Drosophila melanogaster: one gene and its partner. The main gene of each other region encodes a partner of the protein of the gene in region 2 in a complex. Each region holds a gene or a part of one and is shown on either strand. Other genes may lie near its edges. The genes, in order: bcn92 and Nfs1.

Evidence for each region.
Region 1: Nfs1 (region 2) and bcn92 share a complex: the UniProt entries of both Drosophila melanogaster proteins name them as parts of the mitochondrial core iron-sulfur cluster (ISC) assembly complex.

What each region holds. Positions count from the first base shown.
Region 1 is NC_004354.4:2,147,949-2,151,569, forward strand, and holds bcn92 (bcn92), read right to left. Parts: upstream 1,700-3,621; 5' UTR 1,534-1,699; coding exon 1,454-1,533; intron 1,394-1,453; coding exon 1,273-1,393; intron 896-1,272; coding exon 818-895; 3' UTR 515-817; downstream 1-514. Other genes in the region: Pgd (phosphogluconate dehydrogenase), read left to right, coding at 1-440; wapl (wings apart-like), read right to left, coding at 2,929-3,204, 3,324-3,514, 3,575-3,621. UniProt on the Drosophila melanogaster protein: Stabilizing factor of the core iron-sulfur cluster (ISC) assembly complex that regulates the stability and cysteine desulfurase activity of Nfs1 and participates in the [2Fe-2S] clusters assembly on the scaffolding protein IscU.
Region 2 is NT_033779.5:11,997,866-12,001,813, reverse strand, and holds Nfs1 (Nfs1 cysteine desulfurase), read right to left. Parts: upstream 2,161-3,948; 5' UTR 2,090-2,160; coding exon 1,960-2,089; intron 1,902-1,959; coding exon 643-1,901; 3' UTR 570-642; downstream 1-569. Other genes in the region: Hacd1 (3-hydroxyacyl-CoA dehydratase 1), read left to right, coding at 1-400; Ada1-1 (transcriptional adaptor 1-1), read right to left, coding at 3,920-3,948. UniProt on the Drosophila melanogaster protein: Catalyzes the removal of elemental sulfur from cysteine to produce alanine. It supplies the inorganic sulfur for iron-sulfur (Fe-S) clusters.

The DNA of each region.
Region 1 (3,621 bases), on a different chromosome or scaffold from region 2:
GATTCATGCTCATGCGAGAGGCGGCCAGGGAGAACAAGTGGAGACTTAATTACGGCGGCATTGCGCTGATGTGGCGCGGCGGCTGCATCATCCGCAGCGTCTTTCTGGGCAACATTAAGGACGCGTATACGTCGCAGCCGGAGCTGTCTAATCTGCTGCTGGACGACTTCTTCAAGAAGGCCATCGAGCGCGGCCAGGACTCGTGGCGCGAGGTGGTGGCCAATGCCTTCCGCTGGGGCATTCCCGTGCCGGCCCTGTCTACCGCCCTAAGCTTCTACGACGGCTACCGCACGGCCAAGCTGCCAGCCAACTTGCTGCAGGCCCAGAGGGATTACTTCGGCGCCCACACCTATGAGCTGCTGGGCCAGGAGGGTCAGTTCCACCACACGAACTGGACAGGCACCGGCGGCAATGTGTCCGCCAGCACCTACCAGGCGTAGGTTCCACCTGCTCCACTTTCCCGTTCACACATTCCATGTCATTGGCGCCGGTGTCTTAGATGTTTCTTTTTTTTCTGGAGTACTTTAGTACTTATTTATACCATTAATATATATGTATGTATATAGAATTTCATAATTGTTGTTAAACATAACATTAAATTGGTGTTTTTTTGCTAGCAAATGATTTTGATTCCTTAGTTTCATGAATGCAAGTGCCATTTAAAATCAACAATGCGTGTGGTTTGGTGTGTTGTGTTGTGTGTGGGTCGAGTCTTTCGAGTTGTGTCTTCATCTGGAGACGCCTCCTGCTCCTTCTACCGCTCCTTCCCTGCTATTGTACTCTCTTCAGCTAGCGCGTTTTTCGCTCCGTATTTCCCTTAGTCGTCCGAGGGCTTCAGGGTCTTCTTGTTCTCTATAACCAGTTTGTCAGCGGAATACAGGTGGCCGATGATTACCTGTGGACATTCAAAGGTTAATAAACTCAACCGGCTGATAAGCGAAAAAGGGGCAAAATGGTTACTTTCGATTTCTAATAGGATGGTAATTGAGTTTTCCATTCCCCATATTTGCAAAATCAGATATATATGATAAAATCTACTTTAAATATACATTAATATTTTTAATCTTTAAATTGATTGTCTTTGATAAGGGAAGTAGTAGTTGATAGTAGTATTTTTATACCACTAATTATTTGAGTTCCTAACAACTTGGTAAATAAACGACGGCTCTTTTTGGATGCGCTGTGATCTCGAAGACGGAATGCCTTACGTTATCTGGATACTTTCAAGCATTGCTGATAAGGGAGAGGGGTGAAATCCGACGAACCACTCACCTGGCGACGTATCAGCTCCAGATTCTGTTGGCCCTCGGCCATTTGGCGATCGATCTCCGCGAAGTCCCTGGTGCTCCTGTTGGCGCGGAATGTGTCGCGTATTTTTCGGGCAGCGTACATTCTGAAATCCGGAATAGATTGCTCATCACTCGCGGCGGCCTTTCAATTTCACAACACCTACCTGAAGTTGTACGAGGGCAGCTTCTCCGATTCGCGCAGGAGATTCCTGTATAACGTGATCGCCTGGCGACGGGTCGACATCCTGGTCTTGATCCTGGCCGAATGGAACTGAATGGCGGGCGGGCTGGTGGATTAAAGTGCTGTTTAATTGATGAGTGCTTTGTTTTGACCCTGGTTTCTTGTTTCGGTGCGGCAACTGCCAATTGACCGCCTGATGACATAAAAATTACATGCGGAAAGCCGGAAAATACTGACTTTTCCGCTGCAAAATACCAGAAACAGCTGACTGCATTCACTGTGGTGTCACGTGCGTGAGTCTTAGAGATGACACTGCGTCGTGCGGAAATCATCGCAACTGAATAAAAAAACTATTTTTGTGATACTAAATATTATTGCAAAAAGTAAGAAATAAATTGAGTTCATAGTGCAGAAAAATAATTTATTAAGAATCCGAAATATTTAGAGGTAAATATTAAAATAAAAACCAAATTAACCTGCTCCCATTATACAAAATAAGACAACTGCCGCATTTTTTCAATTTTAGTTTTAATTCTGTTTGTTTTTTCCGCAAGAACAATATATTATGTACTCGTTGAAAACACAAAATAAATATATATATTTTGTTCCCGAAATTGTTTCTTTCTTGCACGCGCGCTTGCTTTTTAAATCTGACTTTTGTAGCCTAAAAATGACATTTTTAGTGGTTGTAAACGTACACATATATCCATATACATATATATATTTATTTATCAGTGTTAGTTTTATAAGTAGAGTTTCTTTAGCTTACGTTTAGGCAATAAAATAACTTTATTTCCCACATCTAATCTAGAATTTTCCTCTCTAACTCTCTCTTTACACATGTCTATCGCTCTCGCTCTTTCTGCTGCAGCGTTTTTGCTAAGAGCGCTTGTTTTACAATCAATAAAAAAAAGGTTTAATATATAAAGTATGAATAGGTAAAAAAAAAACACATTCGAAATAAACCTAAGACGCGTCCGATAAAATCGCTGATTAAAGAATATTTACATGGGTGTGTGCTTTCGAGGGTAAGCCGACATTTAGCTGCTAATATTGCTTATGACTATATAACGTACTCATATTAGTGGGGATTTGGATCTTTGTGTTGTTCGGGGTGTCGCTTTCGTTTCGTCAATCTTAATCATTTTCTTTAGTTAAAACGCAGACCATGCTCAGGAATTCGCTATCACTTTGGGTTAATACAAACGCAAAAACAGATCGCATTGTATCCTATCGCTCTTAGCTATATACTTCTATATATATATATATCTATATATATATAGCTGACTGAAACTAGGTGCATTACAGGCTATACACATACATGTAGTGATTGTTATATCAACACATAAACAAATTACATAATCACAAACAACAGAATTTTATTTTGGTGGCAGGCTTTCGGTGTGGTTAACGACAATTGCGATGGCTCTTCGATTCCGATTCAGATCCCAGGTCCGATTACCTGTGGCTGCTGTACGTTTTATAGACCCGCGGCGCCCTCGTCGTTCCTGTGGCCGATGTGGATGAGGGTGCGGAGCCAGAGCCGACCGTGGTCGAGCTTGTAGCAGCATGCGACGCGTCCGCTCCCACGGCCAAGACTTGCGCCGTCGTTTCCAGATTCAGAGGCAGGGGGTTGTCGTGCTCATCCGAGTGCTCGTAGATGTAGTCGCGCTTCTTAAAGTTGTCGATGATGCGCTTCGTGGACTTCATATGCGCCACAAAGGCTGCCTCCAACTATACAAATGGTGGAGAACGTTAACGAGTTAGAAGGTTGTGCAGTTTGATGGATTAAGGGTAAGATGGATTAAGCTATCGATCTGAACTGAAAATGTATGACATATTATGAGACTCACGCTGGATGTAAGGTTCATGAATGTGTGGTACTTCTCCAGCACTCCAATAATCTCCTTAAAGCTATTTCCTCGCAGCTGGCGGCGCACCACCGACTCGTACAACTCGTTGTCCGCTATCAGATTTCCCACCAGGATGGCCGCATAACTTCCCTTTAGCGTGTGCTCCATGTGGTGGCCGGCTCGTTGCACAACTGTCAAAACCGCCCGGCAATTAGCATAGGTCACAGATCATCAAACCGCTAAATACTCACGATTGTTGACTGTCTCCTCCACTTCTTCTTGTTTCTTCTTTCCCTTC
Region 2 (3,948 bases):
GCCTACTGGAAAGGTTTCACCCGGTCTGCCCATCGCCCTGCTGGCCTGGGCCATCACTGAGATCATCCGATATGGATATTACGCTCTGAACATCGTCAAGGTGGTGCCGCATTTTGTGGTGTTCCTGCGCTACACCACATTCATTGTCCTGTATCCCATCGGCGTGACTGGGGAGCTGCTGTGCTTCTGGTGGGCCCAGAGCTATGCCCGTGAGAACAGCGTGTGGAGTGTGGTGATGCCCAACAAGTGGAACGCCACCTTCTCGTATTTTGGATTCCTGTGGATCGTCATGCTCGGCTACATCCCCATCTTCCCGCAGTTGTACTTGCACATGTTCGCCCAGCGCCGTAAGATCCTGGGCGGTGGATCCAGCGGCTCACCCCAGAAGAAGGCCAACTGAACCTTGACCAGCGGCGAATGCAAATTATTGCATCATTTGCATATCATTGGCCGTCGCACTTTGAGCCGTTTTCGCTTTTTGGGGTCTCTCTTGCCTCACCTCTTACACAAGCACATTCGTTCGGACTAAGCTTAGTTATAAGTGGTTTTGTGTACAAATAAACCTAGATACTCTTCCAACAAATTTATTTTCCCTTCGCTTTCAAAGTGTGGTGTAACAGTAACGGCTTAAATATTAGTACATTAATGCTGCGACCATTGGATGGTCTTTAGGTCGATGCCCTCTTGGACCATCTCCCACAGCGGCGACATCTCGCGCAGTCGCTCCACATGCTTGATGCACTTATCGGCGGTGTAGTCCACCTCCTCGACGGTGGTAAAGCGCCCGATGCCAAAGCGTATGGAGCTGTGGGCAAGATCCTCGTCGGTGCCGATGGCACGCAGAACATAGGAGGGCTCCAGGGAGGCGGAGGTGCAGGCGGACCCACTGCTCAGGGCCACGTCCTTAAGAGCCATCAGTAGTGACTCGCCCTCGACATAGGCAAACGACAAATTCAGGCAACCATTGTATGTGGCTTTGGCATCACCATTCCTGATGACATGCGGCAAGGCACTTGAAATCCTGTCCAGCAGGCGATTGGATAGAAAGTCCACCCATTTCTTGTCGTAGTCCATCTCACGCAAAGAAAGTTCCGCAGCAGCTCCCAATCCCACGGCGAGCGGGGCTGGAACCGTTCCGCTCCTTAGGCCACGCTCCTGGCCGCCGCCACTTTGGATGGGCTCGAGGCGAACCCTCGGCCTTCGTCGGACATACAGGGCGCCTACACCCTTTGGGCCGTAGATTTTGTGGCCGGATATAGACATCAGGTCAATGTTCATGGCGTTAACGTCCAGCGGGACCTTTCCCACCGCCTGAGCGGCATCCGTGTGAAAGAATACTCGGCGAGACCGGCACAGTTTGCCAATCTCATCGACGGGTTGCCGTACGCCGATTTCGTTATTCACCGTCATAATGGACACCAGCGAGGTCTCCGATGTGATGGTTTCCTCCAGTTGCTGGAGGTCGATGAGTCCGTTGGCCAGCACTGGCAGGTACGTGACTTTAAAGCCCTCGTTCTCTAAAGCACGACAAGAGTCCAGCACGCACTTGTGCTCCGTCTGGGTGGTGATCACGTGTCGCTTCTTAGTGCCGTAGAAACGGGCAACACCCTTTACTGCGATATTATTCGACTCGGTGGCGCCGGATGTGAAGATGATCTCCTTGGGATCGGCGCCAATCAGGGTGGCCACCTGCTCGCGGGCCTTTTCTACAGCGGACTCTGTTTCCCAACCGTAGGCGTGGGTACGGGAGTGGGGATTTCCGTAGAAATTGGTCAGATAGGGGAGCATAGCGTCCAATACACGTGGGTCCATTGGAGTGGTGGCCTGGGCATCCAGGTAAAGTGGTCTACCCTCGGTCTGTTCGTTCTTTATGTTGAATCGCACCTGTCTCTCCCGGAATTCTACGAACGAATACGATTTTGGTAAGCGGTAACTGTGCATCTTGGAGGATCCGCTTACCTTTGGATGTGGCGGCTGGTTTAGCCGCTGTCCTGGAGGAGGTGGCCTCGTGTCTAACCACATTGGCTAATGCATTCGTCGCCCGGGAGCGGAGGACCTGCGCCTGGATGCGTCCCAGCACTTTTTGCATTCTGATGGAATCCTAGAAATTCTGGTGTTAAAATTCGTTATCACGGATTTCACAATCAGTGGGACCGTATTCGGCGGCACGAGATATACCAAAGGACTCCGGAATTCACTTTAAAATTATCTGATTCGATTATGCAGAAGCAAGTTTCTGAATTTCTTTGAACATATGAAAAATGAATAGCATCTGTGCAAGAAACCAATATTTTTCAGATATATTCGCACTTAATGTATAATTTACAAGGAACTATATTTTCAAAAACCAGTTTTCATCTTAAATATGTTTGCTTACAAAATTATCTTAATCATTCAGCGAACTTAAGTTACGAATTCACGAAATTGCGCGCATAGGCACGGTATATTTTTCTCAGTGAGCCATAAAATACTCAAAGAATACTCAATACGCAAAGTAAGACAATTATAAACAAAAGTACAAAAGTTGAAGCAGTTTTGAAATAATAAATATAGGAAATAGGCAAAAATTAAAATCAAATTTAAATATGGTTGTCTGCCGGTTCTTTCAACAAGGCTCCTGCCGCTATGGCGCAAAGTGCAACAACGAGCATTTCGATGTTAAGTGAGTACATTGATATTAAAACTATGCAGATGAACTAATAACTTAATTATTTTAGGCAATATCTCAAAGCCGACATGGAATCCAGCCTCAATGGCAAGATGTGGCCTTTGTCCGCCTACGGACCCTTTAAGGACAAAGCGAATTTCCCCAACTTTATTCAGGACCAATCCTTCGAGGAGGTGCGGTTCATGTGTTACGAGGCCAAACGACAAAACCAATTCGAACAGTTCAGCCAACAGTTTAACCGTGAGGTCCTAGAGGCTAACAACAAGATGAAGACCATGCTTCAGATGTCGCCGCAGGTCCTGGAAATGATGATCAAGATCCACGAGACGCCGGAGGGCGGCACTGTGTCGGCTGCCCCTCAGCAGTCCAGTAATCCCTTCGCTGCAGCAGCTCCGGCTGCCGCCAATACATCTGCATCCATTTTTGGAAAGCCCACGCTGAGTGCGGGAAATATATTTGGGAATGCCACAAGCCAAGCCAGCAACACCAATAGCATTTTCGGCGGAACGATTAGCAATGCCAATGCAAGGAATAGCATTTTTGGTGTAGGAGCTGCGGCAACAGGTGCACAAAGTGTCTTTGGACAGCCACAGCAGCAACAGCTGCAGCCTGCTGCACAAGCTTTCCAAGGGGGCAACATTTTCGCCCAGGCGCAGGTTCAGGTGCAAGCTCAGCCAGTGAATCCTAATCCTTTCGGTGGTTTCCAACAGCAGCAGCAGCAACCGCAGTCGACGGGAATCTTTGGCCAAGCCGCAAGCCAAAATATGGGCGGAATGTTTACTCAGGCTTCTCAGCAACTACAACAGCAGCAGCAGGCAGCTGCCTCCGGATTATTTGCTCAAGCAGCAGCATCTGCATTCCCTAATCAACAACAGATGCAGCAGCAGCAACAGATGCAGCAGCAGCAACAGATGCAACAGCAACAAATGCATCAGCAGCAGCAGATGCAATAGCAACAAATGCAGCAGCAACAACAATTTCAAATGCAACAGCAACAGCAAATGATGCAGCAGCAGCAGCAGCAGCAAGCTCAACCGACCAACGAAATCCAGTCCTCAGTTTACAGTCGCATGGAGGATCTCAACGAGCAGGAAATCGAAGCATTCAAGGCGGATCAATTTCTACCAGGTGCCTTGCCATTCAAACCGCCTCCACGGAATCTTTGCTGAACCAAACACTTAATGGTACACTAGCGTATAATGTATATATTTTTACAGAAGCTGATATAATAAAATAATTAGAACTTATAAGCTAATGCATCATCATATTGAGTCGTTCCA